Linked DNA regions of Oryctolagus cuniculus. Each later gene encodes a partner of the first gene's protein in a complex. Links are inferred from orthologs where the notes say so. Each region holds a gene or a part of one and is shown in the gene's direction. Other genes may lie near its edges. The genes, in order: KL, FGFR1, FGFR3, FGFR4 and FGF23.

Region 1 (5,229 bases):
TTTTCATGCAACCCAGTAATTAAAAACTACATAATCCAAAATCAATTAAGTCATAAGATAGTATCCCAAATTCTTATTTCATTAACTTTTCAAAATATGAATAATAACTATACACACAAGAAATTCATGTTTTTCCACTGACTGCTGAAAAACAATCAAAATAAGCCCAATCATGGTAGCAACTCAATGTGAGGTGATCTACGTCCAAAATAATTTATTGGTTCCAGCTGATTTTCATATTGTGTGGTTAGTCGTTAGATTAGGTTTGATGAAAAACAGATACAAGTAGAATTGGGGATTAAAACATGTATCACATTTTCCCACACAATCAGAGCTAAGGTCACCATGGTTTTTCTCTTCACAGGCTCATGCCAAAATCTGGCATCTCTACAATACTTCTTTCCGCCCAACCCAGGGAGGCCAGGTGTCCATTGCTCTAGGCTCCCACTGGATCATTCCTCGAAGAAGGACCGACCACAACATCAAAGAATGTCAAAAATCTCTTGACTTTGTACTAGGCTGGTTCGCTAGACCCATATTTATCGATGGAGACTATCCTGAGAGCATGAAGAATAACCTTTCGTCTCTTCTGCCTGATTTTACTGAAGCCGAGAAAAAGTTCATCAAGGGAACAGCTGACTTCTTTGCTCTTTCCTTTGGACCAACCTTGAGCTTCCAATTGTTGGATCCTCAAATGAAGTTCCGCCAGTTAGAATCTCCCAGCCTGAGGCAACTGCTTTCCTGGATTGCCCTGGAATATAACCATCCTCAGATATTTATTGTGGAAAATGGCTGGTTTGTCTCAGGGACCACCAAGAGAGATGATGCCAAATACATGTACTACCTCAAAAAGTTCATAATGGAAACATTAAAAGGTAGGATTCAGGTAAAATTATCATTTCCTGCCAAAATCCACTGGAAAAATAATGTAGGGTTATCTATAATAAAGTATGTGGATTTATATTTTTAATCATAATGTAGATTTTGGCAACAGTAGGAATGTATTTAGGTAACACCTTACATATTCAGGGTTTCTGAGGAATGTAAATTAACACTTAAAACTAATTTTGTAGTTGAAAAACTGGATTATAATGTTAGAAATTGCGTATTTTCAGAGTTGTTAATCCAGATCCTTAGACTAAAGCATACAACAAATCCCAGGCTATGTAGCTCTCCCTACATGTTTTTGAGTTATTGTTTTGCTCAAATAAAAGCATGCATTAACCCCCAAAGCATGGATTAATTGTATTAAAGAGATACACGCTCTACCATGTTTATAGCAGCAGTATTCACAACAGCCAAAATATGGAATTAACGAAGGTGTCTGCCATCAAATAAATGGATAAAGAGAATATGATATATATTTTATATAATAATGCAATATCATTCAGCTATAGAAAAGAATGAAATTCTACAATTTGTAGGAATATGGTTGGAACTGGAAGGCATCATATTGAGTGAAATAAGGTGGACACAGAAAGACAAATATCACTAACATTCAAAAAAGAAAAGAAATGCTGTGTGTATCAGTTTTGCTCTAAATACAGTGTTTTGTCCAAAAAAGGCATTATTAAAAGAAAAAGCATAATCCACATTTCATAGAGAAAATAATAGTTCATTATTTTAATGACTTTCTTCCTTTACTGCATCAGGCACAATGCTAGGGTACACAGTGGAACAAGACCTCTCCCTAGCCCTGTAGAGCACCCATTGGAAATAAGGAACTGTCTCAGATTTGGGAATGCTCTATTTGTGAGACATTTATTTGTGGAATTACCTAGATAGGACTAGAATCTTTTGTCAATAAGAAAAATCGTTGGCTTCTGAAACAAGAAGAATTAAACTTAATTTTTGTCTTTAAGTAATAAAGTCCCCGGCGAGTGATCAGTGAAGGTCATGTTGCTCCTGTCTCCTCTTCCCTTTGCAGCCATCAGGCTGGATGGGGTGGATGTCATCGGGTACACAGCGTGGTCCCTCATGGATGGTTTTGAGTGGCACCGAGGATACAACATCAGACGGGGACTCTTCTATGTTGACTTTCTGAGTCAGGATAAGAAGTTGCTGCCGAAGTCTTCAGCCTTGTTCTACCAAAAGCTGATAGAGAAAAATGGCTTCCCTCCTTTACCTGAAAATCAACCCCTAGAAGGGACCTTTCCCTGTGACTTTGCTTGGGGAGTTGTTGACAACTACATTCAAGTAAGTCAGCTGACAAAACCAATCTTCAGTCTCACCAAGCCCTATCACTAGTAAGTAGTGTTTCCTTATTAGGCTCTTCACATGGCACATTGTCAGTTCTTTAGCCAAACACAGTTTCCTCAAAAGCATACTCAGTGCACAAATTGGAATGCAGCAGCCCTTTTTCTAAAAATCTTCCAGACGTCATCTTGCACTTTAAATTAGATTCAAATGGAAATAAACCTGAAACGTTAATGTGTAAGATATTCTAAGGCAGGTAAAGATAATAAAATACATTTTTGTTCTGCGGTTTTCAACCCCTTTTAAAGCAGTTGGGTTTGTCCATAAACAAGATATACTCTTCCAAAGTCAAAATACTGGAGAATTGAGGGAGCCACTGATATTTTTGAAGCAGGAACAGATGGCCTTCTTCTTGAGGTATAACCATGTGGCTTGCAGAAATACCTGAGAAAGAAACTCTTTGCTTCAGTGTTTCACTGATAACAATGTCCTTTACAATCATGGTCATTGGAATGATATGGGAGTCTTTCCAAATGATCAACTAGTATTTACGGAATATTTACTATGTAATTGGCCCTCCATATTCTTTTTAATTTACCTAATTTTAAAGGGACTTGTTTTCCAGTTTACTGCATATGTTCTTAAAAAGATTTTATTATGGATTTGAAAGCAGAGTGACAGAGAGGGAGAGACAGAGGGGTGGGAGGAATGATATTCCATCTATTGGCTCTTCCTTCAAATGCCTGGAACAGCTGGATCTTGGCCAGGCTGCCGCCAGGAGCCAAGAGCCAGCAACTCCATCTGAGTTTCCAACATGGGTGGCAGGGGCCCAGGTACTTGAGGCCAACATCTGCTGCCTGCCCTGGTGCATTAGCAAGAAGGTGAATCAGAGTTGGAGTAACTGGGATTAGAAAGAGCACTTCAATTTGGGATGAGGGCATCCCGAGGGCATCCCAAGCAGTGGCCTAACCCAACTGAATACTTTAGTAAGTATGCCTCATGTGTACGAAGCCCTGTTGTGTGTTTCTGGGCTCACCTGGTTAAGTGGAGTGCCCGTGGGGAACACATTGAGATGAATAAGATACCCCTTGCTTTAAAAGGTGCAAAGGAACCCGTTGACAGTAAATGATGGAGACACAATGAGTATAATGGAGTGAACAGAGCATGATGGTAAGTGAGCAGGGTGGTGGTGTTGGGGGAAGAGCTACTGAATATAGTTTGGGTGTAAAAACAATAATCAAAACAGAGATAAATTCAGCATCCATAGTTAAGCAGTGAGACTTAGCATGTTGAGTTTTTCTAGCCAACTCACTGTTCCTATAAAGCACAGCTTCAGAAGAAGTTACTTGGAGGAATGCTTGGACCTCAAGAAAGGTTTTCTAGTTGAAGTGGGTTGCTCTTTTCTAGTGGTAAATATCAAGTTGCAATCTTTTATTTGTAAGGACATAAATCCACACTACTCTTAATAATTTCGTGTGGGTCTGGATTATGCTTGTGACTTTTTCAGATCATGTAGTTTGTTTTAGAGTCAGTCCTGGACTTCAATGTAAAGGACAGTGGGAAATGGGTTTGCAGAGATTTCTGAGCCCAATATAAAGTCTTAGGTCCGTTTTGCCCGGTGTGAGAGTTTCCTGCCTGCTCCCTCTCTGTCCTCCCTCGATCCAGGACTATTTGGAACCACCCTCTCCTAATTTCCCTTTCCAGAGGGGGGTCTCCAGTTCAAGTGCATTGGAGGTGACAGAAGTGGGACTGGTGAGGAGCAGGAGAGAAGGAGACAAGGAGGAGGAGAAGACATGCCCCCTGCAATCCTCCCTTCCTCCTCCCCTTTGTTAGCTGTAGGAGTCAGCTTTTCATTGCTGTAGTAAAAGGCCTGAGGCCATTAACTTTAAAAGAGAAAAGCTGTTTTCAGCTGGAAGTTTTGGAGGTGCGAGTCCAGGATTGGCCAGTTCCATTGGTTCAGCTTCTCATGAGAGTGGCCGATGGTGTCGGTGGAACGTGTGCAATGCATGACCACAGGATTAATGGGAAAGCAGAGAGTCAGCTGGTCTCAAACTCAGGCTTTTACAACAACCCTCCTCTGAGAGCTACCATTGGAGGGCATGTCCCCAGTGACCTAAGGCCCTCTCTTTAGCTCCGCATCCTAGATGCCAGAATGGACTCAGTTTCCACCCTGCTAGTGCCGTTAACTTATGATTTGGGAGTTTAAGTCCTGCATGAGTTCAGAGGCCAAATTATAGTCAAACCCTAACACTGGGGCTCGGGGTAGATTAGAGGGCCCCTGTCCCTGTTCTAGCGCTTGACTTTCTGCGGGCTCCCTGCTGGGCACCAGGCCCTGTCACTGCCCCTATCCAATCCTGTGACAGCAGCCTGAGCCTGCAAGTAGCTCCCAGTTCATCTAGTGTGTGAGTGTCTCGTGGCCCACTCCTCGGTGTAGACCCTAGGGACCCAGGGAAGTTTGGGGGCTGGAGAGATACATTTTGCTCCACTCTGCTCCCCACCCAAGGGCTGTGTGGTTGCATTGGGAACTGGAAATCAGTGAGAAAGTGTTCTGGGTGTGTTGCGGTAGATTTCTTCTGAGAGGATTCGTTCTGAGAAGAGGAGCAGGGTGGGCTCAAGAGGCGCAGAGTCACCTCACAGACCCCAGGAGTCGGGTGAAAGCAGGCCTGAGGCCAGCAGCCCGCAGACTCGTTTATTTCAGTTGCTACAGCTGCTTATATAGCCAAGGCAGCCAATCCAGTCAAGGGGCGGTCTATGCCCTAACCAATCACAGCCTGTTGCCAGGCAGTTTCCAAAGCCATCCAATCACAGCCTATTGCCAGTCAGGCTCTGTTGCCATGTGGTTTCTGAAGCCATCCAATCACAGCCTATTGCCAGGCAGTTTCTGTTGTCAGCGGCCATCTTGGCATGAACTTTGCACCTCAGCGGCCATCTTTGCATGACCTTTTCACCTTCTCATTCCACCACGTGGGTGTGTCCTATTTTCTTGAGGAAGGAGAGAGACTGGTGGGAAGTGAAATGTCTGATTGGCTAGGC
Region 2 (5,229 bases), on another chromosome or scaffold:
CTTAACGCTGCTGCAGCTGCTTCCTAACTTTGCCTCTTTTCTTCCTTTGACTTTTGGAGGAGCGGGGTGGGGGAGAGGAGCCAGGGGTCCCAGGCCGCCAGCTGTCTTCCCACTGACCCGTATTCCCAGCCCCAACGCCAGTTCGAGGAAGTGAGGCCCGGTGGTGGCCAGCGTAACTCCCCCTTTGTCTCTCCCTCCTCCCTCGCCCGCCACTGCCTCCTCTGCCCGTCCCTGGGGTGGCTGCAGCCCAGCCCTGGGGAGCCCCTGTGGAAGTGGAGTCCTTGCTGGTCCACCCGGGTGACCTGCTGCAGCTTCGCTGTCGGCTGCGGGACGATGTGCAGAGCATCAACTGGCTGCGGGACGGGGTGCAGCTGGCAGAAAGCAACCGCACGCGCATCACGGGCGAGGAGGTGGAGGTGCGGGACTCCGTGCCCGCCGACTCCGGCCTCTACGCATGCGTGACCAGCAGCCCCTCGGGCAGCGACACCACCTACTTCTCCGTCAACGTCTCAGGTTGGTAGCAAAGCCCCGCCCTCACGCTCTCCCCGCACCTACCCCCTCCGGCCCACTGTTTCCGAGGGAGCGAGCCTCTGCCCCACGCTCTGCTTCCGATCCGCTGCCCACTAACATTGCTCCCTGCCCGCCGCGTGGCTTGGCTCTCAGAGGGATGGTCAGGTGGAGCAGGCCTCAGCCAGAGATGCCCTCGGGGCGTTAAGGCCCTGCGGTTTTGCCACCACAGCGTGGCCCAGAGCTCCATCCTGCCACTGTCAGTCGGTCCGGTGGGTCTTGGTACTCTAACAGAGGAGTTAGAGCCCCAGACATTGTGGCGGAGGTCCCTGCTGTGATGATGGGGAGAATCCGGCGGGGCTGCACCGCCTCGCCTGCCCGCCCGCAGGCTCTCCAGGAAGCAAGCGCCTGGCCTCTAGCTTTGGAGCCATGAGGGCAGCCAGGGAACCCCAGAGCTCTGTGACTTTGGGAATCTGCCAGTTTTGGAAAGCGACTGTGATTGCAGGAAGTGAGCTGAAATGTTCTAGAAGCTATTTGTGCAGCCCAGGGAGGCGGGCCAGGTGTGCAGCCCGTAAGCCTCCCCTTAGGTGTCACTTTGAACATGCCCCCATCTTCCCTCTCCCCCACCCTGAAAGTGCGGGGCAGGCTTGGGAAAAGACCTGCCTTGAACCCTGATTGGTGACCACGTGTTTGTGGAGCCTGTTCTGACAAGGGGTGGATGCTTGGTGGGCAGAGGTGTCGGCAGCTGCAGGCCGGGTGCTGGGGGCGGTGCCCAAGCCTGAGCAGGTGACACACAGGAAAAATTCGGACTGCAGGTGTCGGGACCCTGACTTTGAAACTAATTGCTGCTCTTTTTATTTAAAAACATTTGTTTATATGAAAAGCAGAGTTACAGAGAGAGAGTTAGAGACAGGCCAGAAACTCCATCCAGGTCTCCCACGTGGGTGGTAGGGGCCCAGCCCAGGCACTCAGTCCCTCTGCTGCTGCTCTTCCAGACGCATTAGCAGGGTCCTGAGTGAGAAGTGGAGCAGTCGGGACTTGAACCTGCGCTCATATGGGCTGCCAGCATCACAGGTGGCAGCTTAACCAGCTGCGCCGTGTCCGTCCCTGCAGCTAGCGTCTAGCTCCACTGTGTCTCCATCAGCCTGTGTGGCCCAGTGATTGGCAGCACAAAGAAGGACACAGGTTTCCCAGGTTGTGGTTCTGAGACCCGGGGTACTGTGAGTTAAGGGGGGAAGGGTGGAGTCCAACAAAAGAGGACCCCACTGGGGAGAGAAGGGCCAGGCACAGGAGCAGGCAGTTCTGGAACGCCGAGGGAGAGTGGCCGTGGGAATCCATATGGGAGGGCAGTCAGTGTTGGTCCGTATCGGTAGCAGTCTCAGTGGGGTGACCGCTGATAGGCATGGAGATCCAGAGCTGTGTCAGAGGGGACCTCAGTGCGCTGCTTCTTCCCGTAGATGCGCTCCCCTCGTCGGAGGACGACGACGACGATGATGACTCCTCTTCGGAGGAGAAAGAGACAGATAACACCAAACCAAACCGTATGCGTGAGACACTGTTTCCTATCTTACGGGCCTGGGAGTTTCGTTGGAGAGGGAAGGGAAAGGCTTGGCTGAAACTGGAGGAGGAGGAGGAGGAGGAGGAGGAGGAGGAGGAAGGAGGGGCACGTGGGGTCCTGGTGCCTGACTGCAGCCCCTGGAGTGTCCCTTGATGCTGGATGGTGGCAAACAGGTGCTGGGCAGATGGGCGAGGCAGCTCCCGCTCCTGCCTGGGCCCTTGCTCGGAACCTGACCAGCCCCCTCGTTTCTTGGCTCTCCCCGGGCAGCCGTAGCGCCGTACTGGACATCCCCTGAAAAGATGGAAAAGAAACTGCACGCCGTACCGGCTGCCAAGACCGTGAAGTTCAAGTGCCCTTCCAGCGGGACACCGAACCCCACGCTGCGCTGGCTGAAAAATGGCAAAGAGTTCAAACCTGACCACAGGATTGGAGGCTACAAGGTTAGTACACATAGATATGAAGGGAGAGGAGGAGGGATGGGACAAGGGAGTTAGAAAATCCTCCCTCAGCCGGCGCCGTGGCTCAATAGGCTAATCCTCCACCTTGCGGCGCCGGCACACCGGGTTCTAGTCCCGGTTGGGGCGCCGGATTCTGTCCCGGTTGCCCCTCTTCCAGGCCAGCTCTCTGCTATGGCCAGGGAGTGCAGTGGAGGATGGCCCAGGTGCTTGGGCCCTGCACCCCATGGGAGACCAGGAAAAAGCACCTGGCTCCTGGCTCCTGCCAGGATCAGCGCGGTGCGCCGGCTGCAGCGGCGGCCATTGGAGGGTGAACCAGCGGCAAAAGGAAGACCTTTCTCTCTCTGTCTCTCTCTCTCACTGTCCACTCTGCCTGTCAAAAAAAAAAAAAAAAAAAAAAGAAAATCCTCCCTCATATGCCTCTGTTTTAAATAGTAGTGCTTTCTAACTAATGCATTTAAAAAGTTTTTAAACACATAGGGCTGGTGTTGTGGTGCAGCCAGTTAAGTTGCCACTCGTGATGCCAGCATTCCATATGAGAACACCTGTTCGAGTCCCAGCTGCTCCACTTCCAATTCAGTTCCCTGCTAATGTGCCTGGGAAAGCAGTGAATGATGGCACCCATATCAGAGTGCCAAGTGCTAAGCACTTGGGCCATCTTCTACTGCTTTCCCAGGCCATGGCCGAGAGCTCGATCAGAAGTGGAGCAGCCGGGACTCGAACCGGTGCCCATATGGGATTCTGGCACTGCAGGCAGTGGCTTTACCTGCTATGCTGGTAAAGCACCGGCCCCGGGCCAAACTCTTAACAGGAGCCAGGCACAGAGGCACAGGGTTGAGAATATTCCTGGTATAATTTGGGAGAGTTTGCAGAAGACAGCTTGGTTAGACCATGGCTGGCCTTGAGCACCACGGGGAAGACTTCTAAGGCTCACGCTCATCTGCCAGTTTAATGGACGTGCTCGTTTGAGTGGACCTGGGCTGAGCACCACGTACTCTGTTCCTCCTCCCAGCTACTCTGCAGTTCTGATGGGGGAGCTGAGAGAGGCAGTCCCACAGGCACCAACACGGCCCCATGGCCTCTGCCTGCATTTTCCTCCAGACCCTCAGTGGAGCCCTTTGCCTGTTCCCCACAGGTCCGCTATGCCACCTGGAGCATCATCATGGACTCCGTGGTTCCCTCCGATAAGGGCAACTACACTTGCATTGTGGAGAACGAGTACGGCAGCATCAACCACACCTACCAACTGGACGTCGTGGGTAAGAGGTGGTGGCGCAGACCTAAGGTGCTTAGGGTATGGAGCGGGCATCAGGGACTCCCGGGATGGCGTCAGGATTGCACTTGCCTTGTCACCTTGAGCGGGTCAGCTCCTCCGTTTGCACTTTACTTTTCCCTATCTGCAAACCAAAGAGCATTAGGTGAGAATGTGTCCCAAAGCCAATGTCGCCATGAACTGGAAAGCACTGTTGACAGTCTACCCTGAAAGACGTGACTGGTTGTTGGGCTGTTACAGGGAGTGCAGTGGTAGCTGTGGCTTGATGAAGGCTCTTGCAAATCTGCTGTCATCCCCACCAGGCAGGCACGCGCCCACTGTACCTGCTGAGGCTCAGAGGTCAGGTGCCTGTGGAATTCCAGGCCCCTGCCGGCTGCTGGATGAGCACCATGCTTCTCAGGGCTGCTCCTGCAGCCGGTCCTAGAGCAGGGGTGGGAACGTCCAGCCCGCAGGCTGTACGAGGCCCACAAAATCACCTTGTCTGGCCCTGCCAGGGCAATCCCAGACGGGACTTTGAAATTCAGTACATGTATAGCAGGCTGATTGTTAAGTTGGATCATTTTATATGGTCCACGAACGACGTTATAAATATCCAAGTGGCCCTTGGCAGAAACAGAGGCTTCCCATCCCCGTTCTGGAGGTAGAGTCCAGCACGCTGGAGATGGAGAGGCCCAGGGACTCTCCGCCAGCCTCCCATCTTGGTGCTGGCCACGTGGTCTCAGCAGGGGGATGGGGTCCAGGCTCTGAGATCCTGCCTTTCTGACTCTCTCTCTCCCAGTTGGCACTGGTGCTGCTGTCCCTGGGCCACACTTTGAACAGCAGTGGTCTCGGCAGCTCTCTGGGAAGCACGTTGTGCTGGGATCTCAGGGTGTTAAGTCCTTTAAGCTACAGGAGACTTATTACTGTGCATAAGTATGGAGCGTGGCCTCGAGGAGGAGTTCCCATGGAGCCTCGAGAGAGGACTCAGGGTGGAGGCACTGGGACCCCGCGGAGATGCAGGACATGCACTGCCCCATCCCCGGGAAAGCCGAGGGGGCACTGCAGGCCCACACGTGTCCTTTCTTCCACAGAGCGGTCGCCTCACCGGCCCATCCTGCAGGCAGGGCTGCCTGCCAACAAGACGGTGGCCCTGGGCAGCAATGTGGAGTTCATGTGTAAGGTGTACAGTGACCCTCAGCCTCACATCCAGTGGCTAAAGCACATCGAGGTCAACGGGAGTAAGATCGGCCCAGACAATCTGCCCTACGTCCAGATCTTGAAGGTAATCACCCTGTCTGCTCGGGATGGGGTGCCAGGACAGAGCCCGCCAGCTCCTGGCGGCTCAGGTTCTGTGGTCAGGCTCAGGGCCTGGGATCGGGACCCAGCCCCTTTCCCAGGAGTGGGGAGAGATGACAGAGTAGAGGTGAGCTGGGAATAGGGGGGCGGTGCTGGTTGTG
Region 3 (6,003 bases), on another chromosome or scaffold:
CGACCTGATGGGGCTCCCGGCTCCCAGCTGCGGCCTGGCCCAGCCCCCACTGTTGCGGGCATTTGAGTGGAGCCGTGCACGGGACAGATCTCTGCTCTCAAATAGAATAAGGACGCCTTCAAGTAACGGCCTCCCCGCGAGGTGGGGACGGGGGCAGCTTCAGGTGAGCTGCCGGCAGTGAGCGGTGCCGCGAGCGAAGCCACGGGGAGCAGTCACATCAGGGCGTGGACAGCGCCACCGTGGCACCGTGGCACGTGCGGGAACGCACACCTGAGCCGGAACCACATTTGCAAGCATGAGGCAATCCGGCTAGGCAAGCCCTAGGTTCAGTGAGGCAGAGACACAGAGGCAGACGTGGGCCACACGGGGCCCCCGGAGCCCCCGGAGCTGGGCCAGGAAGTCCCTAGCCCCCTCTGCAGAGAGTGGGAGGGAGCCTGGCCTGCCCACGCCTGGGCTGAGGCGGGGGGAAGGTGGGCCCTGGGCGACGCGGGTTGGGACGCGCCCTGGGCGCACCCCAGGCTGGTCCCGAGCAGGAGAGTGGCAGAGGAGAGCGGGATGGGGAGTCTCCGGCTCCCCTCGAGGCTGGACAGTGAGGGGACCCGGATGTGTGGTCTGTGGGGGCAGGCTTGGGGGACACGTGGGGACAGGGATGGGGCAGCAGGCACACAGGGCAGCGGGCACAGCCCCAGGCTGCCCAAGAGGGCATCTCTCCTGAGGAGGGGCTCCTGACGGGCACGAAGCAGCATGTGCCCGGTGCACAAAGACCGCTGACCTGCTAGGCAGAGGGGGCTGGCCCTTCCCGGGCACCGGGGAGGGGCTGTGGGCACCCAGCTGGCCGGTCCTCCCCGCCCCCGCCCAGCTGCCACCAGCCCGACCCACCAACTCCTTCCCTCAAAGCAGGAAGGACGCGGCCTGCTGCCGAGGGGCCCAGAGCACCCGGGCCCCCCTCGTCCTGGCGCAGGACGGACTAAGCGACTGGCTGCAGCCTGGTATGGGGGTCCCAGCTCCTCCTGATGTGCACCCGGGGGCAGCAGAGGACGGCTCCAACCACGTGAGTCCCTGCCACCCACACGGGAGACTGGCCTGGCGCTCCCGGCTCCGTCCCGGCCCAGCCCTGGCTGTTGTGGGCATTCGGGGAGTGCGCAGTGGACGGAAGGTCTCCATCTCTCCCTGCTCACTGTCTGCCTTTCAAATAAATGAATCTCAGAAAAACCCAAAAACCCAGATGAGTGCAGACGGCGCTGAGAGGCGCTGAGTGGCAGCGGCCTGCGGCTGCGCACTGCAGAGGCCTGGCCAGCTCACCTAGGGGCCAGTGGGCCTGTGTCCCCAGGCTGCAAGGACGCGGACTTGGCCTGAGCAGCCCACGAGGGAGGCCCAGGGCGGAGGTGCTGAGCTGCCCACTGAGCAGAGGGTGGCCTCCCCGCCAGCCCCCGCCCCCCCAGCACCTGCGCGCGCACCGAGGCCTGGGGGAACACAGAGCCGGTTTGTGGCCCACTCTCCTGGTGATCCGGCCAGCACCTGCGGCCCTCCAGCTCCGCAGGCCCTCGACCTCTCTGGGCTGGCCTGTCGCATGGGGGTCTGAAGGCAGGGCCTGGTGCTGCGCGCCCAGCCTTGCCTTCCCGGCCCAAATCTCCCAGAACCTCGCCCGGCTGTGCTCTGCCACCAGCTCACCACCGGCCGTTCCGAGGCCTGGCAAGCACCAACCTTCCGCCCCCTCCCTGCGGCCGCGCGGGACGGACACCCCCCCCCCCCCGCACAGGCGCAGCCTCCACGCGCAGCGAGGCTCGGACCGGAGGCGCCCTGCTCTCCGCCGCCGGAGGTCGGCCGGTCCCCCGCCGCGGGGTTCTGCTGCCACGGCTCCCCCGCGAAGCCTCCCGGGCCTCCGGTCCCCTGAGCCCACGCCCCCGAGCCCTCCCGCACAATCCCGCGGCCCCGAGCTGCCCCAGCCCCGCACGGACAGGCTGCGCCGGGCCTCCCGCGCGACCGCCCTGCCCGGGCTCCCACGCCCTCGGGGACCGGGGGCCGCCCCCGCCGGCCACGCCTCCTCGCCCGGGACCGCCCCGCAGCGCGCGGCGCGGGCGTGGCCTGGGCGGGGCGGGGGCGGGCCGGGCGCGGGCCGTCCCCCCTCGGCCGCCGCGCGCCGGGCAGCCCCTGCTCAGAGCTCGGCGGCGGCGGCGGCGGCGGCGGCGCGGGCAGCTGGCGCCGCGCGGTCCCGTTCGGGCGCACGGACGCACCGGCGGCGGCAGGGGCGGGCTGCGAGCCGGGGCCGTGGGAGCCGCGCGTGGCGAGCCGGGTTCCAGAGGCGCCAGGTGGGTGCGCGGGGCCGGGCGGGCTCTGGGAGGGGTCGCGGGGGCGACCCCCGGAGGGGCCGGGGCGCGCGGCGGGCGCGGGTCCCGAGCGGCCGCTGTGGCAGCTTCCCGCCCTGGGAAGTTTGCCGCCGCCGCCGCCCTGGGAGGGAAGGGGGAGGGAGGGAGGGACCGCGGCGGAGAGGAGGCGGCCGGCGCCAGGCGGCCCGGGAGCCCTGGGCGGCGGCGGCGGCGGCGGCGGCGGCGGCGGGCGGGGCGGCCGGGGGCCGGGGGCCGGAGGGCTCGGGGCTCAGGACCCTGGCCGCGGCCGCCGCTGCCGCGCGCCCCGGGGCCGGTGACGAGGTGCCGCCCTCCTCCTCCTCCCGCAGACTCCGGCGTGCGCCTTCCTCCCTCTCGGGCCCCGGCCGGGCCGTGGGGGGCAGCATGCCCGCGCGCGCCGCCTGAGGACGCCGGCTCGGTCCCCGCCATGGGCGCCCCGGCCCGCGCGCTGGCACTCTGCGTGGCCGTGGTGGTCGTGGCCGGCGTCGTCTGGGAGCCTGCGGGTCCGGAGCGGCGTGTGGTGCGGAGAGCCGCAGGTGAGGACGGAAGGACCCCCACCCCACCCCACCCCCACCCCGCCCCGGGGACTCGGGAGGGCCGGGGTCCGGGCTGGAAGAGGAGTCGGTCGGCAGCGGGCAGCCGGCTCCGAGGTGGGGAGGGGTCGCCGGTGCCGGGCTCTGCTGCCCTCTCTCTGGAGACCGCGGCTCGTGGGAGCCCCCGCCCGGGGCGCGGCTGCCGCCCTAGAAGCCGTCGGTTTGCGCGACCCCATCGTCCCTCGGGTTTTTTGCTGACGGAAAGTTCCTGCTGCCGGTGCCCCCAACCCCCCGCCCTGGCCCCGGTTCCCGGCCAGCCTGGGCCAGCGCGAGACTGGACTTTGGAGGTGGGAGCGACTGCGTGGCGAGGTGACACCTCCCTCCCGGGGTGGGCGCCGCGACTGCGAGGGTGCCGGTCAAAGTCCAGCGGGGCGTCCGGGTGCCGGGAGGAGCGCGCGCCCCGCCGCAGCCCCCAGGTGCCCGGGCGCAGGACGCGGGCGGCGCGGAGCCGGGCTGAGCGCCCGGGCGTCCTTGCTCCGGCGCCGGGCGGGCAGCCGCCCCCCGCCCCCGTGGACCCTCGGCTCGCGCGAGGACCAAGGGTGCGCTCCCCGGCCCCGTGGAGGGCCGCTTTCCCCGCGAGCCTGCGGCCCGGACGGCCGCCGCTTTGTACGTCGCGAGGTGCGCGCGGGGCGGCCGCGGGCGCGCGGCACCGAGGCAGATGGCGGCCCCCGCCCCGAGCCCCCGTCGCCGCGGCGGCTGCAGCCGCGCGAACAATGTCATTTTTTTATGAATGAGAGTGGTCCGGCGCTTGAATGCGCGTGTCATTCACGGCGTGACAGAGGCCGGCGCGAGGTCAGCGCGCGCTTTGAGCGCCTGCTCCGACGGCCCGGCTGCCGGGGGCGCCGAGGGGGCGGCCGCGGGGGCGCATTAGCATTCGCATTCAGATGAAGATATTACTCCCGGCCGACCGGCCGGCCGGGGAGGCGCCTGGGAGGCCCGCCTGGAGGGGGGGCCCCGCCCCCGCACACCCCGGCTGGAGGAACAGGTAGTGAGTTGATGGGACCATAAACTTAATCCGGCTCCTTAACGAGATGGGCCGGGCAGTAAAACACTAAGACCGCGTGAAGGGCAGGGCCAGGGCGCTTTCTCCGGAGCCTGCCTGCTGGGGTCAAGGGCGCCACTGCCCACGCCAGCCCCGTCTCCACGGGGCTGTGTCCTCCGCCGTGGGGGCCTGGCAGTGGCTCTCGGGTGCTGGGAGGCTGGGTCCCCGGGAGCCAGGGGGGTCCCTGGCGGGGTGGGGTGGGTGCGGACCTCCCTCCAGAAGGCAGCTGCAGCCTCCCCACCCCCTCCTGGCAGGGCTGGACTTTGAGCCCAGCAGGCCTCCTGGTGGTTCATTAACCTGGCCTGATCGGCTGGCCTCTGCGCCCAGGAGCCCCTCGGCACCGCCTCCCCCGGCCTCGGGTCAGCGGCCGGAGCGGGGCTGGGGCTGGGGTCAGGGCCCTCCCAAGGGGTCCTGCCGGCCGCTGCCCTGCTGGGCTCGGTTTCCTCACCTGTGTGGGAGGACGGATAATGGCGGGGTTGTTGGGGGATTAGGCCGGATAATCCCGATAAGCTCTCATTAGCTCGCCCGGCCCCCAGCCCCTTTCCCTCTTCTGACTTGTTCAGGAGCTCTGTGGAATGTGTCTGGGTGGAGACTGAGGTGGGCAGGTGAGCCTCAGGACCCCTTAGACGCTGCTGACCCCACCCCTGGACCCACCTGGTGAGGGGGTGTGGCTCTGCTGCTACCCCTGCCCTGTGACCCCTGCACGCTGGGGGCCTCGACTCCTGGCCTGGCTGTGACCTGACCCACGTCAGGGCGTGCTTGGACTGCAGGTGGGAGTCCCCACCTTGTGCTGCAGTTGGGGAAACTGAGGCACAGTCAGGGAGCTCTGTGGGCTCTCCAGGTTGCAGGGCCCTCTGTGGGGCACAGGTGGCACCCTGGGGCTTGACACTGGGGCTGCAGGAGGAGCAGGAGTGGCGGGACCTGCTGACTCTGGGCCCCAGTGCCCGGGTGAGTGGACAAGAGAGAGCCTTCCCCGGGCCGCCTGGCTGGCCTCCCCTGGGTGAGGAGGCGGAGATGAGACCCCAGGGTCCCTGGCCCCTGAGACACCTGGCGGGCAGGGTGGGTGAACAGGTCGGGGCCTCGCTCCTCTCCAGCCGGCACGGGTGGGGGTCCTGGGCGTGGCTGGCCCGGGGCCGCTCTGATTCCTTCTCTGGACCAGGTTGAAGGGAATCCTTGTGTGGACTGCGTGACCTGTCGTGGTGCTCCAGACCAAACCGGAATCAGCCGGCTGTTGCCCTTGGGCCGGGGCCTGGCCTCAGCCTTCTGGGGGGCCTCAGGCAGCTCCTGGTGCTGGGTGGTCCCCGCAGGACACTGTGGCAGGAGCCTCCCCCGGCCACAGGGCCCCCTCGAGGTCTGGCCCTGAGCTGCGGGTCCCTGTGGGATGGGAGCTCCTGTAGAGAGTGCACAGGATGGCAGTGAGCCCTCCTCGCTGGAGGATCCTGACGGAGGCTGGGGCGTGTGGGGGGCGCGTGGAGGGACGGGCCGAATCGGGCCTGGCCAGGGAGCCGGGCACTACTGTGGCCAGAGTGGGCAGCTGGGCCCTCGAATCTAGGCCATACGTCGGCAGAATGACAAGTGATGGCGCAACTGGCCCAGCTGGGCCTGGCCCCCGGGACCACCCACCCCTGTCCCGGGCCCCAAGCCCAGGCCAGCCGCCTGATGGGGAATTGTGTGGCCCTGGCAAGGGAGGCCTGGGGGTAACGGTCACTGAGGCCCTGGTGCGTCCTTGCGGCCCTGGCCCTCATGTCCCCCTGGGAGCCAGGGAGGAGCAGGCCCCGGGGCTGTCCGGCACTGTCAGCTGTAGGCCCAGGCAGCCCGAGCTCCTCACCTGCTGGCCTCCCCCACCCCGCCTCTGTCCTCAGGGGGGCGGCCCCAGGCCCGCGCAGGCAGGCGCCCACACCTGGGTCCTCTCACCCCACAGGCCGAGACCGCGCTGGCTGGCCCCGGGGTGCCCTCTGCATTTCCGCCTTTCCTCCGGCGTGTTCTCTGACCGCCCTGTTGGCGAGGGCTGTGCGACCCAAGA
Region 4 (5,913 bases), on another chromosome or scaffold:
ATACTGGCAAATATGAAGAAATCCCAGATCAAAAAGTGATCATAATGGTGCAGCAGGTAAAGCTGCCATCTGCGGTGCTGGCATCCCATATGGGCACCAGTTCGAGTCCCGGCTGCTCCACTTCCAATCCAGCTCTCTGCTATGGCCTGGGAAAGCAGTGGAAGATGGCCCAAGTCCTTGGGCCCCTGCACCCACGTGGGAGACCCGGAAGAAGCTCCTGGCTCCTGGCTTCAGATCGGTGCAGCTCTGGCCATTGCGGCCATCTGGGGAGTAAACCAGCGGGTGGGAGACCTCTCTCTCTCTGTAATGCTGTCTTTCAAATAAATAAAATAATTCTTTAAAAAAATAAGAAGTAATCACAGCTAGCATTGCAAAGCAAATGCTGGATGATGGCTTTGCACACACCCACAGGTCTGCTTCTTGCAACAACCTCTTGAGGTTGATGCTATCAGCTACCACTTTCCTGCCAACAGGATGAAGACAGGGATGGAGGGACCCGCCAAGGCTGTGTGCGACAGTGCTGAGAGGTGAGGGCACACAGCCCAGTGCTGCAAGCTGTGCTCTGAATCACTCAGGAAAAGGCAGCTCTGCAGCACCCGGTGAGCTCAGTGCTCCCAGAAGAAGCAAGAGGAGCAGGACCTGAGAAGGAGACAGACTTCACCAGACCAAGACGGGACAGCGCGTTCCAGGAAGAGGGAAATCACATGCAAAGGCCCAGGGGCAGGGTGGGAGCAAGATAAAAGGGCATGAAGGTTCAATCTGGAGATGTGGGCAGGGGCCAGGTTATGCTAAAAACCTATATATAATTTTGTGAGAAGCTACTGGAAAATTAAAGGGGAAGATAAAACAGTCAGATTTGTATTTAAAATATAACTCAGGTGGGACTGACGTTATGGCATAGCAGGTAAAGCAGTCACCTGAGATGTCAGCATCCCATATGGGCGCTGGTTTGAATCTTGGCTGCTCCACTTCCCAGCCAGCTCCCTGATCATAGCAGTGGAAGATGGCCCAAGTGTTTGGACCCCTGCACCCACATGGGAGACCTGGAAGAAGCTCCTGGCTCCTGAGTTTGGTCTGGCCCAGCCTGGCCATTGTGACCATTTGGGGAGTGAACCAGGGGATGGAAGACCTTTCTCTCTCTCTCCCTGTAATTCTGTCTCTTCAATAAATAAATAAATAAATATACTTTTAAAAACCATAAACTACATTGCCACATTGCCAAAAAGAGAGATTTCTTTTCTTTTCCCCCTCCCCTCCCCTCTCCTCCTCCTCCCTCTTCTCCTCTCCTCCCTTCCAGATCTCTCAGGCTGGGGCAGCCCATAGCAGAGAGCTGGATCGGAAGTGGGGCAGCTGAGACTCAAACCGGCACCCACATGGGCTGCTTGCACCGCAGGCAGCAGTATTACCTGCTATGCCACAGCGCTGGCCCCCTAAATAAATCTTTTAAAAAATCACTCTGGACTTGGAGTTGAGGCTCCATGGCTTAAGCCACCGCTTACATCCACCAGCATCCCAAATCAGAGCACTGGTTCAAGTCCAGCTGCTCTGTTTCCAATCCAGCTCCCTGCAAATGCTCCTGGGAAGGCAGGTGGAAGATGGCCCAGCCTCTGCCACCCTCGTGGGAGATGCCGATGGACTTCCAGGCTCCTGGCTTCCTGGCTCTGCCATTTGGGGAGTGAACCAGCAGATGGACGACCTCTGATTCTCCTTCTCTCGTCACTCTGCCTTTCAAATAAATAAATAAATATTTTCTAGAAAGAACTGTCACTGTGCAGGTTGCCAAATGAGCGGACGTGGGGCAGTCAGTCCACTGCACAGAGATGGCGGAGCAAGGCTAGGGTCAATGTTTCCTTCCCCGAGGGGTGACGAGCAGGAGACACGGCTGGGCAGTGGACGAGAACTTGGAAGCCCCGCCAGGGGTCTGGGTGGGCCGGAGGAGGTGGCTTGTAGTAGCCAGGCTGGCCCTGGCCGGCTGGCGGTGATGCTGGGTCGCCGCTTTGGGACCTAGGTGGGCGTGGCTGCGGAGCCCTGCCACGCCCCTGAGAGGTACTACCGGCCGGGGGCGGGGCCGGGGCGGGGCTGGGCAGCTGCCCGCGGCCACGCCGCTGTAGCGAGTTTATTCCTGGCTCTCCCGCCGCGGGCGGAGCAGCGCCGGGGCTATCTGCAGGCCCCGCCGGGCGCGGGGATCGGGTGAGCAGGGAGCGAGGCGCGGGGGAACCAGGTGAGCAGGACCCTGGTGCGGGCAGCGGAGCCACGCAGGTTCGAGGTGAGCCAGGACCCGTGCGGGCCCGGACTTCACCCCCTGCCGCCAGGGGGCGAGCGACGGCGGGGTCCAGGGGTTGCCCCCTCCCGGCACGGGGGCGTCCTCTCGGCGCGGGGGTGGAAGGGCGGTAAATCAGTAACCCACAGCGCACACAGGGCCTTTTGTCCCGCTCCGTCCAAAGAGCACCGTGGCCACGGAGCTGGTTACTCATTGCCCACCCGGGCGGGGGCGGGTGCAGCTCCCGGGGGAGGGGGACCCTTCGGCTCGCACCTCCCCCCGAAGGTGGCCGGGCGGGTGGGGAGAGCGCTCTTGTCCTTGGGCGGCAGAGCAGGGGAGGCCGACGCCCGGAGAGGTGCAGCGCTGGCCCAGGGCCCTCCGGCGCGGGAGTGCGGAGGCTGGATAACCCGGGACCGTCTGATGCTGGAGTCGGGAGCTCTGGTCCCACGCGCCGGGCGGGTGGCCAGCCGCCGCGGTGACCCGGCCAAGGTTTGAGGTTGGGAGGTCAGGGCAGCCTGGGGTCCCAGGCGTCCCCACCCCACTGCCCGCGGAGCTGTGCCCCGAGGCAGAGGGGGCGCTTTGCGGAGCCCTGGGGTGGGCTGGGCTCAGTCACAGAAAGAGCTGAGCGGGATGGAGAAGAGGGATGAAGGGCACGGAGGCGCCGGGTTTTGAAAGGCGGTGGGTTCCGTGCTCGTGAAGGGAGATTGGCCAGGGCAGAGAGGGGGCCTGGGAGACACACGAGCCGCGGGGACTGCTTCCTGCAGGGTGCAGGGAGCCTTTAACCGACGGAGGGGGCACTTGACAGACGTGTGTTTCCCAAAGCCCTTGCAGAGGCTGAGAACAGAGGAGGTTTGCAAAGGCCCAAGCAGACACCACCGTGGCCTGCCCCGGGGAGGGACAGGAAATACAGAGAGGGCTGGGAGGGGGGGACCCGGCTGCAGAGAGATGTGGTGGGCTTCCAGGAAGGCGCATCTGCAGACACCACTGACACCTGGCTGGCACCCAGCCCCAGGGAATAGCCAGTGGCTGCCTGGGACCACAGCCTGTCCCCTTGCTTGGTTCTGAGTGTTCCTTTGGGGGGACAGAGACGTGCTCAGTAGCACTGGGAAGAAAGTGACCAAATGAGATGGGTGTGCACCTCGTACCTGACAGGACCAGAGCTGACCGGCTGAGGGCAGACCAGGGTGACAGGTGACAAGAGGGGCGGGGAGGACATGCCAGTATGCCACGTGCCTAGTCCCCACATATATCACCGCTTTTATCTCAAAACAGCCTGGAGCGGGACAGCCCAGGACTTGCAAGCTGGTGGGAGCCGAGACTTGAACTTGGTGCTGACACTTTAGAGTCTACAGAAACTCCTGTGTGGGGTTGCGGGGCTTCCGAATGAGGCCCTCTCCCTGCTCCACGTGGGGAGTGCTGCCTTGTTGGTGCAAGCACCCAGTTGCTAGGCATGGGTGCCAGGAATACCCTAGGGGTAGGGGTCAGCCCCAACAACATGCAGCTGCTGACGTTTGGCCTGCTATCACATTTCACTTTTTTTTTTTTTTTGGCTCTTCAGCAATAAATTTCTTTATTCAGCAAAAAGTAAATTATGTGTGCTGAGAGCGAACAGCAGATATTTCTCCATTCTCTGCCTCGCTCCAAGGAAAGAATCCCCAAACTGCTCTTTCTGTGAACTTGTGCCAGGGTCTCAGCAGGACCCAGGCAGAGCAGGAAGCCGAGCCCAGCTCCCCCTGCACCAGCAACCAGGGGGAGGCCCTGGGCTCCGGCAGCGGCAGCAGCAACAGAGCTGGTTCCAGTCTCTGCCTTGCCACAGCCGGGCTAGGGGCTTGGACCAACCTGCCTCAGTTTCTTCATCTGCAAAATAGGGCAATAGCGCTGGCCCAGACGCACGTGTGGCAGCTGCTCTTTTTGCCCCCTGTTCCAGGAGTTCCAGCCTGAGTCCTGGGAGCTGCAGGAAGATGTGGGTGCTACTGGCCCTGCTGGGGGTCCTGCTGGGGGCACCTGGGGCTCCAGCCTTGTCCCTTGAGGCTTCTGAGGAAGTGGAGCTGGGTATGGCCCCAAAGGTGGGAGAGGGTCGCAGGGGTGGGAAGCGTGAACCTGGGAGGGGGCTGCTGGCTGAGCAGAGCCGGAGAGGGTCCCAGCCCAAGCCCTGAGAAGGCGGTGGCAGGGCAGGCCTCAGCCTCTGAGACTCTGTGTCTGGCTCCCAGCAAGCGGCCACTATCTATCACTGCGCTCCAGAGGACGGGCCTTGCAGGGCGCTGGGCCCTCAGCTGGGCTGCAGAGCCGGGGGTGAGCGCTTGGCTGCGTGGGTGTGTGTGTGTGTGTGTGTGTGTGTTCTGTGCATCAGTGTGTAGCTTGGCGGCCCAGGCAGCACGTGTGGCACGTATAGCATGTGCCTTTGAGTGTCTGTGTATGTGTGTGTACGTGTGTCCCGAGTGTAGCATGTCCAGCATGCGTGCCAAGTACTTGTGTGCGTGTGGCCCACCTCGGCGCTGTGGCGTGGGCCCACAGCTGCGTGCGGAGGAGTGGCATGTCCAGCACGTGTCCTTGGGTGCCCGGGCCCCACGTGGGCAGCATGTTCTTCATACGCAAGGGGGCCGCCTCCCATCGGAGTGGCGGGGCTCACTGCGTTCTGTGCTCGGCCCACAGAACCCTGCCCAGCCCCCAGCCTGGAACAGCCCGAGCAGGAACTGACCGTGGCCCTTGGGCAGCCCGTGCGGCTGTGCTGCAGGCGGGCTGAGCGGGGCGGCCACTGGTACAAGGAGGGCAGTCGCTTAGCACCTGCCGGCCGGGTGCGGGGCTGGAGGGGCCGCCTGGAGATTGCCAGCTTCCTGCCCGAGGATGCCGGCCGCTACCTCTGCCTGGCTCGAGGCTCCATGACGGTCCTGCACAATCTCACCTTGGCTGTGGATGGTAAGAGGGGCTGGCGGGGGCGGCTGAGGTCCCCGGGGAGAGAGACTCCCTCTCTTGGTCCTCAGATGCTTGCTCTGTCCCTGACACAGACTCCTCGGTCTCCAGTGACGATCCTGAGGACCCCAAGGCCCACAGGGGCTCCCCGAACAGGCACAGTTACCCTCAGCAAGGTCGGTGTGAGGCTTCCAGGACTCGTGTCCACATCGCCCCATCTGGTCACTGAAACGAGGGGTGGGGGGCACTCAGTACGCCCACCTCCTCCCCCCCCAGCTCCATACTGGACACACCCCCAGCGCATGGAGAAGAAACTGCATGCAGTGCCTGCCGGGAACACCATCAAGTTCCGCTGCCCAGCCGCAGGCAACCCCATGCCCACCATCCGCTGGCTCAAGGACGGACAGGCCTTCCATGGGGAGAACCGCATTGGAGGGATTCGGGTGAGGCTGTGGAGTCCCAGACCATCTGCTCCCAGACTTCATTTCCCCCCGGGCCCCTGGCACCTGTGAATCTAATGTGGAAGGCAACTGGGAAGCACCAGGCTTCAGACTGGGGCGATCCGGCTACCCCACCAAGTGCCTTCCCCGCTCAGCAACCCCAACTGTGCGGCTGGAAGAACCCCGGGCCAGCAAGCCTCAGGACGCTTTGGCATCTCCTCTCTCTCTTTAAGATTGATTTATTTGAAAGGCAGAGTTACAGAGAGGTAGAGAGAGAGAGAGGTCTTCCATCCACTGGTTCAC
Region 5 (5,229 bases), about 24 Mb from region 1:
GGTGCCATTAGCTGCCTGGTGGTGTCACATTAGCTCTGTGTCCCTCCAGAGAGCCACCTACTGCTGCACACAGAGAGAGCGCCGGAAGCACACTTGCTGACTGGAGTGACAAGGACTGGGAGACGAAGTGGGAGATGGAAAGCGTCCATCCGCAGACTGCACAACTGCGGCTGGATGTTTTCGGAACCGCTGGCTGCCTTCACATTTCCTGGTGGAAGTGGGGCAGGTCAACAGACAGCCAGAGTCACAGATAACTTTTGCCCACACATCATTCACTTTTTAGAGTGCTGGCTTGAAACTGTGTGTGTGTGTGTGTGTGTGTGTGTGTAGCCAACGTGCCTTCCGTGACCCTCAGGAGTCACTCCAGTTTCTCTGAATGGGCTGATTACAACACAGAGGATGTGGACGCTGGGGTTTTTCCTGTTTGATGTCACACTGCTACCCTTTAAAAGTCTAGGGGGCAAAAGGAGGGAATGCAGCCGAGGCTCCTCACGTCCCTCTCTGCTACTTGCAAGACTCAGCCCAGAGGGGAGTCTCAGGTTTCAATCTCAGCATCTGCCATTCGGAGAGAGAGGCGCGATGTTAGGGGCCCGGCTCCTCCGGCTCTTGGTCTGTGCCCTGGGCAGTGTGTGCAGCTGGTGTGTGGTCCGAGCCTACCCTGACACCTCCCCACTGCTCAGCTCCAGCTGGGCTGGCCTGACCCACCTGTACACGGCCACCGCCAGAAACAGCTACCACCTGCAGATCCACAAGGACGGCCAAGTGGATGGCACACCTCATCAGACCATCTACAGTGAGTAGGGGCTTCTGGCTGGGAAGAACGGGGACCTCCCCTGTTGTCCACTATGGAGAGTTGGGAGAGGGCTTGGGTTAGACCAGAGTGCTAATCCAGCCACCGAATGTGTTGCCCAGGAACCGTTTCATGGTGTGTGTGTGTGTGTGTGTGTGTGTGTGTGTGTGTGTTATCCTTAGGAGAAGAGTCTGCTCTCTCCCTAATCAGTACTTACTGATTTCTCTCAACATGAATACTTTGTCTTAGCTAAAACCCCTCTTCCCACAATGAGAGCCCACTTTCCCTTTGCCTTGGCCAAGGAGTCAAAAAAAAAAAAAGTATGGAAAAGAAATGCAAGGAGTCTAGGAAGAAGAGAAGATAGATAGATGAACACAGGATGCTTTTTTGGACTTGCTAAATAGGGAGATTATAAAGAAGATTGCTTATCACATCAAGAAGCTGCTTCCAACTCCTAGCTTCTAATATTCTGACCTCATAATTGTTCTTCGGAAGAACAGATGGAAGGCAGAGTGCCCAGGTGTTGTATCTCGGTGAGTCCGACCGAGAGCACTTCCTTCCATGTCCTCATCTATCCATGCATCCATTCGCCCAACAGGGTTACTCATGTTCTGCAGGAGTCCAGGGTGAGCTGGTGACTATTCTCTGGGGAGCTCACATCTGTCCTAGCAGTGTCAAGTTGAGCTAACTGGGAACTCACTGGACACATGAGAACACTGCAAAGTTTCCAAAGACTAGGTTTGTGGGATGCTGGATCACAGTCCACAGCAGTCCATCAGTTAGCAATGACCCAAAGGAGAGCTCCTTCACTGTAAAAGGGAGAATGGAGTAGAGGGCATGTGTGTCTTGACGGGTCTTCTGTTTTAGGAGGACATGTTAAATTACTCTGAGGACACAGAAAAATGAAAATTGACTCAAAATAGTTCAGGTCAAAGGAATGAAGGAATAATCCTGATCTCTAACTGAAAAACTTCTCATAGGAATTATGGGTTCTCTTTTATTGTTGGACTAGAGTAAGGAATTATCTTGCTGTGACCCTGCTGTGTGCAAAGCATTTGTTCTGCTAGGAATCAATGCTTTTTAAGCCTGGTAGCATAATGCATGCACACACAGAGTCAACCTTGGAAACCTCAAAGGCTCACTGGGTACTGACAGGCAGTGAAGGGATGGGGAGTTCTCTCCAAATTCCAAGCAGGTTCCAGAAGCAAAGGAGATATAGCAGTATTCAGAGTCACTATTCTTGAAGCTGAGTTTGATCTAACAGCATATATTTGAACTAAATCTGGATCTACTTGATGTGACCACAGTCCTGCTCCTGGTAGTCAGTGGGTATTTAGTAGGACCCACGATATGTCTGGAATGATACAGAGAGGGAAGACAGAGCTCTTCAACAGCCTCCAGTCTGCCATCCCTTCTGCCTGCCAGTGCCTTCTCGAACTTCTAGGCAACACAGGTTTGCACCTCTCAGGGGAAGCCACCTCGGCCTCCTCTGCAAAGCTGTCTGTGATCTGAGCCCAGCGTTGTGGTGCAATGGGTTTAGCCACTGCCTGCAATGCTGGCATCACATGAGTTCCAGTTCTAGTCCTGGCTGTTCCACTTCTGATCCAGCTCCCTACCAATGCACCTGGAAAGCCAGCAGATGATAGCTCAAGTGCTTGGACCCCTGCCACCCATGTGGGAGACCCAGAAGGAGTTCCAGGCTCCTGGCTTCAGTCCGGCCCAGATCTGGATGTTGCAGCCATTTGGGGAGTGAATTAGTGGATGGAAGATCTCTCTCTCTCTTTCTCTCTCTTCCCTTCCCCCATAACTCTGCCTTTCAAACAAATAAATAAATCATAAAAAGGCTACATGTGATTTAAAATGCATGAGAATAGATGATGACACATTATTCTGACTCCCATAGAAAGAAAGGGTAGAGAACAGCTAAGGAATATTTGTTTGTTTGTTTTTTAAATTTATTTATTTGAAAGTCATAGTTACAAAGAGAGAGGAAGAGACAGAGAAAAGAGAGATCTTCCATCTGCTGGTTCACTCTCCAGTTGGCCGCAACAGCTGGGGTTGGGACAGGCCAAAGCCAGGAGTCAGGAGCTTCTTACCAGTCTCCCATGCAGGTGTAGGGGCCTAAGCAGTGCTTTCCCAGGCCATAAGCAGAGAGCTGGATCAGAAGAGGAACAGGGCTGCTGTTATGGTATATGATGCTGGTTCAAGTCCCGGTAGCTCCACTTCTGATCCAGCTCTCTGCTATAGCCTGGGAAAGCAGTAGAAAATGGCCCCAGTGTTTGGGCCCCTGCACCCATGTAGGAGACCTGGAAGAAGCTCCTGGCTTCGTATTGGCGTAGCTCTGGCCATTGTGGCCATCTGGGGAGTGAACCAATGGATGGAAGACCTCTCTCTCTCTCTCTCTCTCTCTCTCTCTCTCTCTCTGCCTCTGCCTCTGCCTCTGCCTCTCTGTAACTCTGCCTTTCAAGCAAATAAATAAATCTTTAAAAAAAAAAAAAAAGAGTAGCCAGAACACGAACCAGCATCCATATGTGATGTTGGCTTCCCAGGTGGAGGCTTAACCTGCTAAGCCACACCACCAACCCCCTACTGGGATTCAGATGGACAGCATTTGGCAGCTTCGTGGGTTTCCCAGGCAGCCGCTATGCCCCTAGACTCAGTACAGGTAATCTTTGCCCTGACATGGCTGTGACCTTTGAGCTTGGAACCAGTCTCCACGGAGGCAGAGGGCGAAGGGGTCAGACTTAAAGCTACTGTCAATTATGTATGGTGTAGGAAGCATGAATGGGTTTCGGGCCCTGGCTGGAGACCAGCCTTTGAGAGGAGACACTGAAAGACCACAAGGGGTTGCCCATGGAATGGGAACTACCACATGAGAAAGGACCAAGGACAGTCAGGAAGACCCAAGAAAAATGTTCCATCCAGCCTTGATAGCCATTCAACGTGGAAAGATAAGGCCTCTGCTCCCCTGTAGCTCACTGCCAAGGAGCTAAAGACTAGGTATTGACTAGTTAGAGCCCAATGGGTAGGGCTCCTGCTTAACATTAGCAGAGAAGGGAGAGAGAGACTTACTCAAATACAGTTCTGGACACGTGATGAGTGCTGTGGAACGCATTAGACTATTACACCGCTGGCTGGGTGGAGAACCGGACTCTACCTCCAGGCTGCACCCTTGACAGAGATCTCAGCACAGCCTTAAAATTACAAACGCAGAAGGCTTGGAAGAACATGACCACTACCACTGACAGGAAGAGGCATTAGCCAGGCAACAGGGGAGACAGAGAGGGTACAGGTGCAGAGAGAGAAACAGGTGTACAGCACAGGTGAGAGAATGCTGTGAGTTCAGAGTGCCCCACACAGCAGGAGGTGGGTGTGGCAGTGAGTGGGTGTGTGTGAGATTGAGACAGAGAGAGAAGTGGAGAGAGAGCATTGAGTGACGCCATCATCAATCTTTGACACCAACACAGGAAGGTTTTGTGAGGGTGCAAGTACCTGAAGGTGGGAATTGGAGGTGCAAACAGTCTCTGACCAGGACGCTCCTCTCCATAGGTGCCCTGATGATCAGATCGGAGGATGCTGGCTTCGTGGTGATAACAGGTGTCATGAGCAGGAGGTACCTCTGTATGGATTTCAGAGGCAACATTTTTGGATCGGTGAGTGTGTGTGAGTGTGTGTGTGTGTGTGTGTGTGTGTGTGCGGGGAGGCAGCGGTTATGGATCTGCATTTTCCAATAGTTATCTATTTCGGGAAAACAGAAAACATGGACTTTTCTGGCTTGAAGCTTCCTTTTGCGGGTGCCTTGCTCATCTGTTCTCAGCGAACACTTTTTTGTCTGATCTGAAATGTTCACATTTATACAACTGGGGTTTGAACCGCAGTCTGTCTGGCCCCAGAACCCAGCCACTCGGTCCCTTGTCTGCACTGCCCATGGGTGCCCATTCTTGTATCTAGCACAGACCCCTGTGTATAGTTGTAGGTCTTAGAGATATGTGAAAGCATGCCATAAAGCACATTAGAACGGGCAAGAAGCTAATGGTGTCTGCTTGGACCTGTTGCAAGCTGCTACCTTAACCAGTCCCCTCACTTTCCCAAACTTCAGCTTTTTCACTCAGAAAAAAAAATGTGGTGGAGTGGCCCACATGATTAGGGAGCACCTCTGTCACAAGTCTGATCGCTGGTCATTCAGATTGGCAAGCAAGAGGTTCCTCAAAGTAAAGCCGGCTGGCACGTCCCAGTGGATTTTGAGATAGTGAAACAGTGGAACTGCTTATTTCAGGATTCTCTTTACCACCAGGCATACTCAGAGAGACGGCGCAAAATGGGGATTTTCTGTTTGGGTACCTGCTAAGTCCCAGTTCCTACAATATTATGTAGCCAGAGTGGATCTACATTTATTTATTTACTTACTTACTTATATTTAAGAGAGAGAGCACACACAA

What was found.
Region 2: the proteins of KL (region 1) and FGFR1 are in contact, whole or in part, in a cryo-EM structure (PDB 7YSH), measured with the Homo sapiens proteins. The link is inferred for Oryctolagus cuniculus from reciprocal best matches to the Homo sapiens genes KL and FGFR1. Residues at the interface, in NP_004786.2 of Homo sapiens: Ser539, Gln540, Phe541, Asp543, Leu544, Asn545, Val546, Tyr547, Leu548, Trp549, Asp550, Val551, Lys555, Arg556, Leu557, Val560, Val563, Thr565, Lys566, Arg568, Tyr571, Val573, Ala576, Glu625, Arg628; in NP_075598.2 of Homo sapiens: Asn272, Gln288, Leu290, His292, Ile293, Asn296, Gly301, Pro302, Leu305, Pro306, Tyr307, Val308, Gln309, Ile310, Leu311, Lys312, Glu322, Leu326, His327, Leu328, Arg329, Asn330, Glu334, Asp335, Thr340, Leu342, Leu349, His351.
Region 3: the proteins of KL (region 1) and FGFR3 are in contact, whole or in part, in a cryo-EM structure (PDB 7YSU), measured with the Homo sapiens proteins. The link is inferred for Oryctolagus cuniculus from reciprocal best matches to the Homo sapiens genes KL and FGFR3. Residues at the interface, in NP_004786.2 of Homo sapiens: Ser539, Gln540, Phe541, Thr542, Asp543, Asn545, Val546, Tyr547, Leu548, Trp549, Asp550, Val551, Ser554, Lys555, Arg556, Leu557, Val563, Lys566, Arg568, Tyr571, Val573, Ala576, Pro580; in NP_000133.1 of Homo sapiens: Gln286, Leu288, His290, Val291, Val293, Gly299, Thr303, Pro304, Tyr305, Val306, Thr307, Val308, Leu309, Lys310, Glu320, Leu324, Ser325, Leu326, His327, Asn328, Val329, Glu332, Asp333, Thr338, Leu340, Phe347, His349.
Region 4: the proteins of KL (region 1) and FGFR4 are in contact, whole or in part, in a cryo-EM structure (PDB 7YSW), measured with the Homo sapiens proteins. The link is inferred for Oryctolagus cuniculus from reciprocal best matches to the Homo sapiens genes KL and FGFR4. Residues at the interface, in NP_004786.2 of Homo sapiens: Ser539, Gln540, Phe541, Thr542, Asp543, Asn545, Val546, Tyr547, Leu548, Trp549, Asp550, Val551, His553, Ser554, Lys555, Arg556, Leu557, Ile558, Val563, Thr565, Arg568, Tyr571, Val573, Ala576, Gln579, Pro580, Glu625, Arg628; in NP_001341913.1 of Homo sapiens: Asp266, Gln282, Leu284, His286, Ile287, Ile289, Gly295, Ala296, Asp297, Gly298, Phe299, Pro300, Tyr301, Val302, Gln303, Val304, Leu305, Lys306, Asn311, Ser312, Glu314, Leu318, Tyr319, Leu320, Arg321, Asn322, Asp327, Thr332, Leu334, Leu341.
Region 5: the proteins of KL (region 1) and FGF23 are in contact, whole or in part, in a cryo-EM structure (PDB 7YSH), measured with the Homo sapiens proteins. The link is inferred for Oryctolagus cuniculus from reciprocal best matches to the Homo sapiens genes KL and FGF23. Residues at the interface, in NP_004786.2 of Homo sapiens: Phe377, Lys385, Leu389, Glu390, Pro392, Trp417, Phe418, Ser420, Lys429, Tyr432, Tyr433, Lys436, Phe437, Arg468, Ser471, Ile472, Arg556, Arg693, Asn694, Met695, Thr696, Tyr697, Ile735, Val752, Phe755, Asp756, Asn782, Asn783, Leu785, Ile812; in NP_065689.1 of Homo sapiens: Leu39, Met74, Ala80, Val88, Arg91, Leu166, Ile167, Phe169, Asn170, Ile173, Arg175, His177, Asp184, Ser185, Glu186, Arg187, Asp188, Pro189, Leu190, Asn191, Val192, Leu193, Lys194, Pro195, Arg196, Ala197, Arg198, Met199, Thr200, Pro201.

Annotation. Positions count from the first base shown.
Region 1 is NC_091440.1:81,192,133-81,197,361, reverse strand, and holds part of KL (klotho), read left to right. Parts: intron 1-364; coding exon 365-875; intron 876-1,927; coding exon 1,928-2,196; intron 2,197-5,229. UniProt on the Homo sapiens protein: May have weak glycosidase activity towards glucuronylated steroids. However, it lacks essential active site Glu residues at positions 239 and 872, suggesting it may be inactive as a glycosidase in vivo.
Region 2 is NC_091433.1:88,162,986-88,168,214, reverse strand, and holds part of FGFR1 (fibroblast growth factor receptor 1), read left to right. Parts: intron 1-246; coding exon 247-513; intron 514-1,964; coding exon 1,965-2,054; intron 2,055-2,332; coding exon 2,333-2,505; intron 2,506-3,655; coding exon 3,656-3,779; intron 3,780-4,863; coding exon 4,864-5,054; intron 5,055-5,229. UniProt on the Homo sapiens protein: Tyrosine-protein kinase that acts as a cell-surface receptor for fibroblast growth factors and plays an essential role in the regulation of embryonic development, cell proliferation, differentiation and migration.
Region 3 is NC_091433.1:655,118-661,120, forward strand, and holds the start of FGFR3 (fibroblast growth factor receptor 3), read left to right. Parts: upstream 1-2,150; 5' UTR 2,151-2,309; intron 2,310-2,674; 5' UTR 2,675-2,772; coding exon 2,773-2,881; intron 2,882-6,003.
Region 4 is NC_091437.1:63,110,745-63,116,657, forward strand, and holds the start of FGFR4 (fibroblast growth factor receptor 4), read left to right. Parts: upstream 1-2,085; 5' UTR 2,086-2,221; exon of another isoform or gene 2,222-2,266; intron 2,267-2,587; exon of another isoform or gene 2,588-2,756; intron 2,757-4,187; 5' UTR 4,188-4,221; coding exon 4,222-4,312; exon of another isoform or gene 4,313-4,326; intron 4,327-4,912; coding exon 4,913-5,176; intron 5,177-5,265; coding exon 5,266-5,346; intron 5,347-5,446; coding exon 5,447-5,613; intron 5,614-5,913. UniProt on the Homo sapiens protein: Tyrosine-protein kinase that acts as a cell-surface receptor for fibroblast growth factors and plays a role in the regulation of cell proliferation, differentiation and migration, and in regulation of lipid metabolism, bile acid biosynthesis, glucose uptake, vitamin D metabolism and phosphate homeostasis.
Region 5 is NC_091440.1:105,065,894-105,071,122, forward strand, and holds part of FGF23 (fibroblast growth factor 23), read left to right. Parts: 5' UTR 1-399; coding exon 400-793; intron 794-4,339; coding exon 4,340-4,443; intron 4,444-5,229. UniProt on the Homo sapiens protein: Regulator of phosphate homeostasis. Inhibits renal tubular phosphate transport by reducing SLC34A1 levels. Up-regulates EGR1 expression in the presence of KL. Acts directly on the parathyroid to decrease PTH secretion. Regulator of vitamin-D metabolism.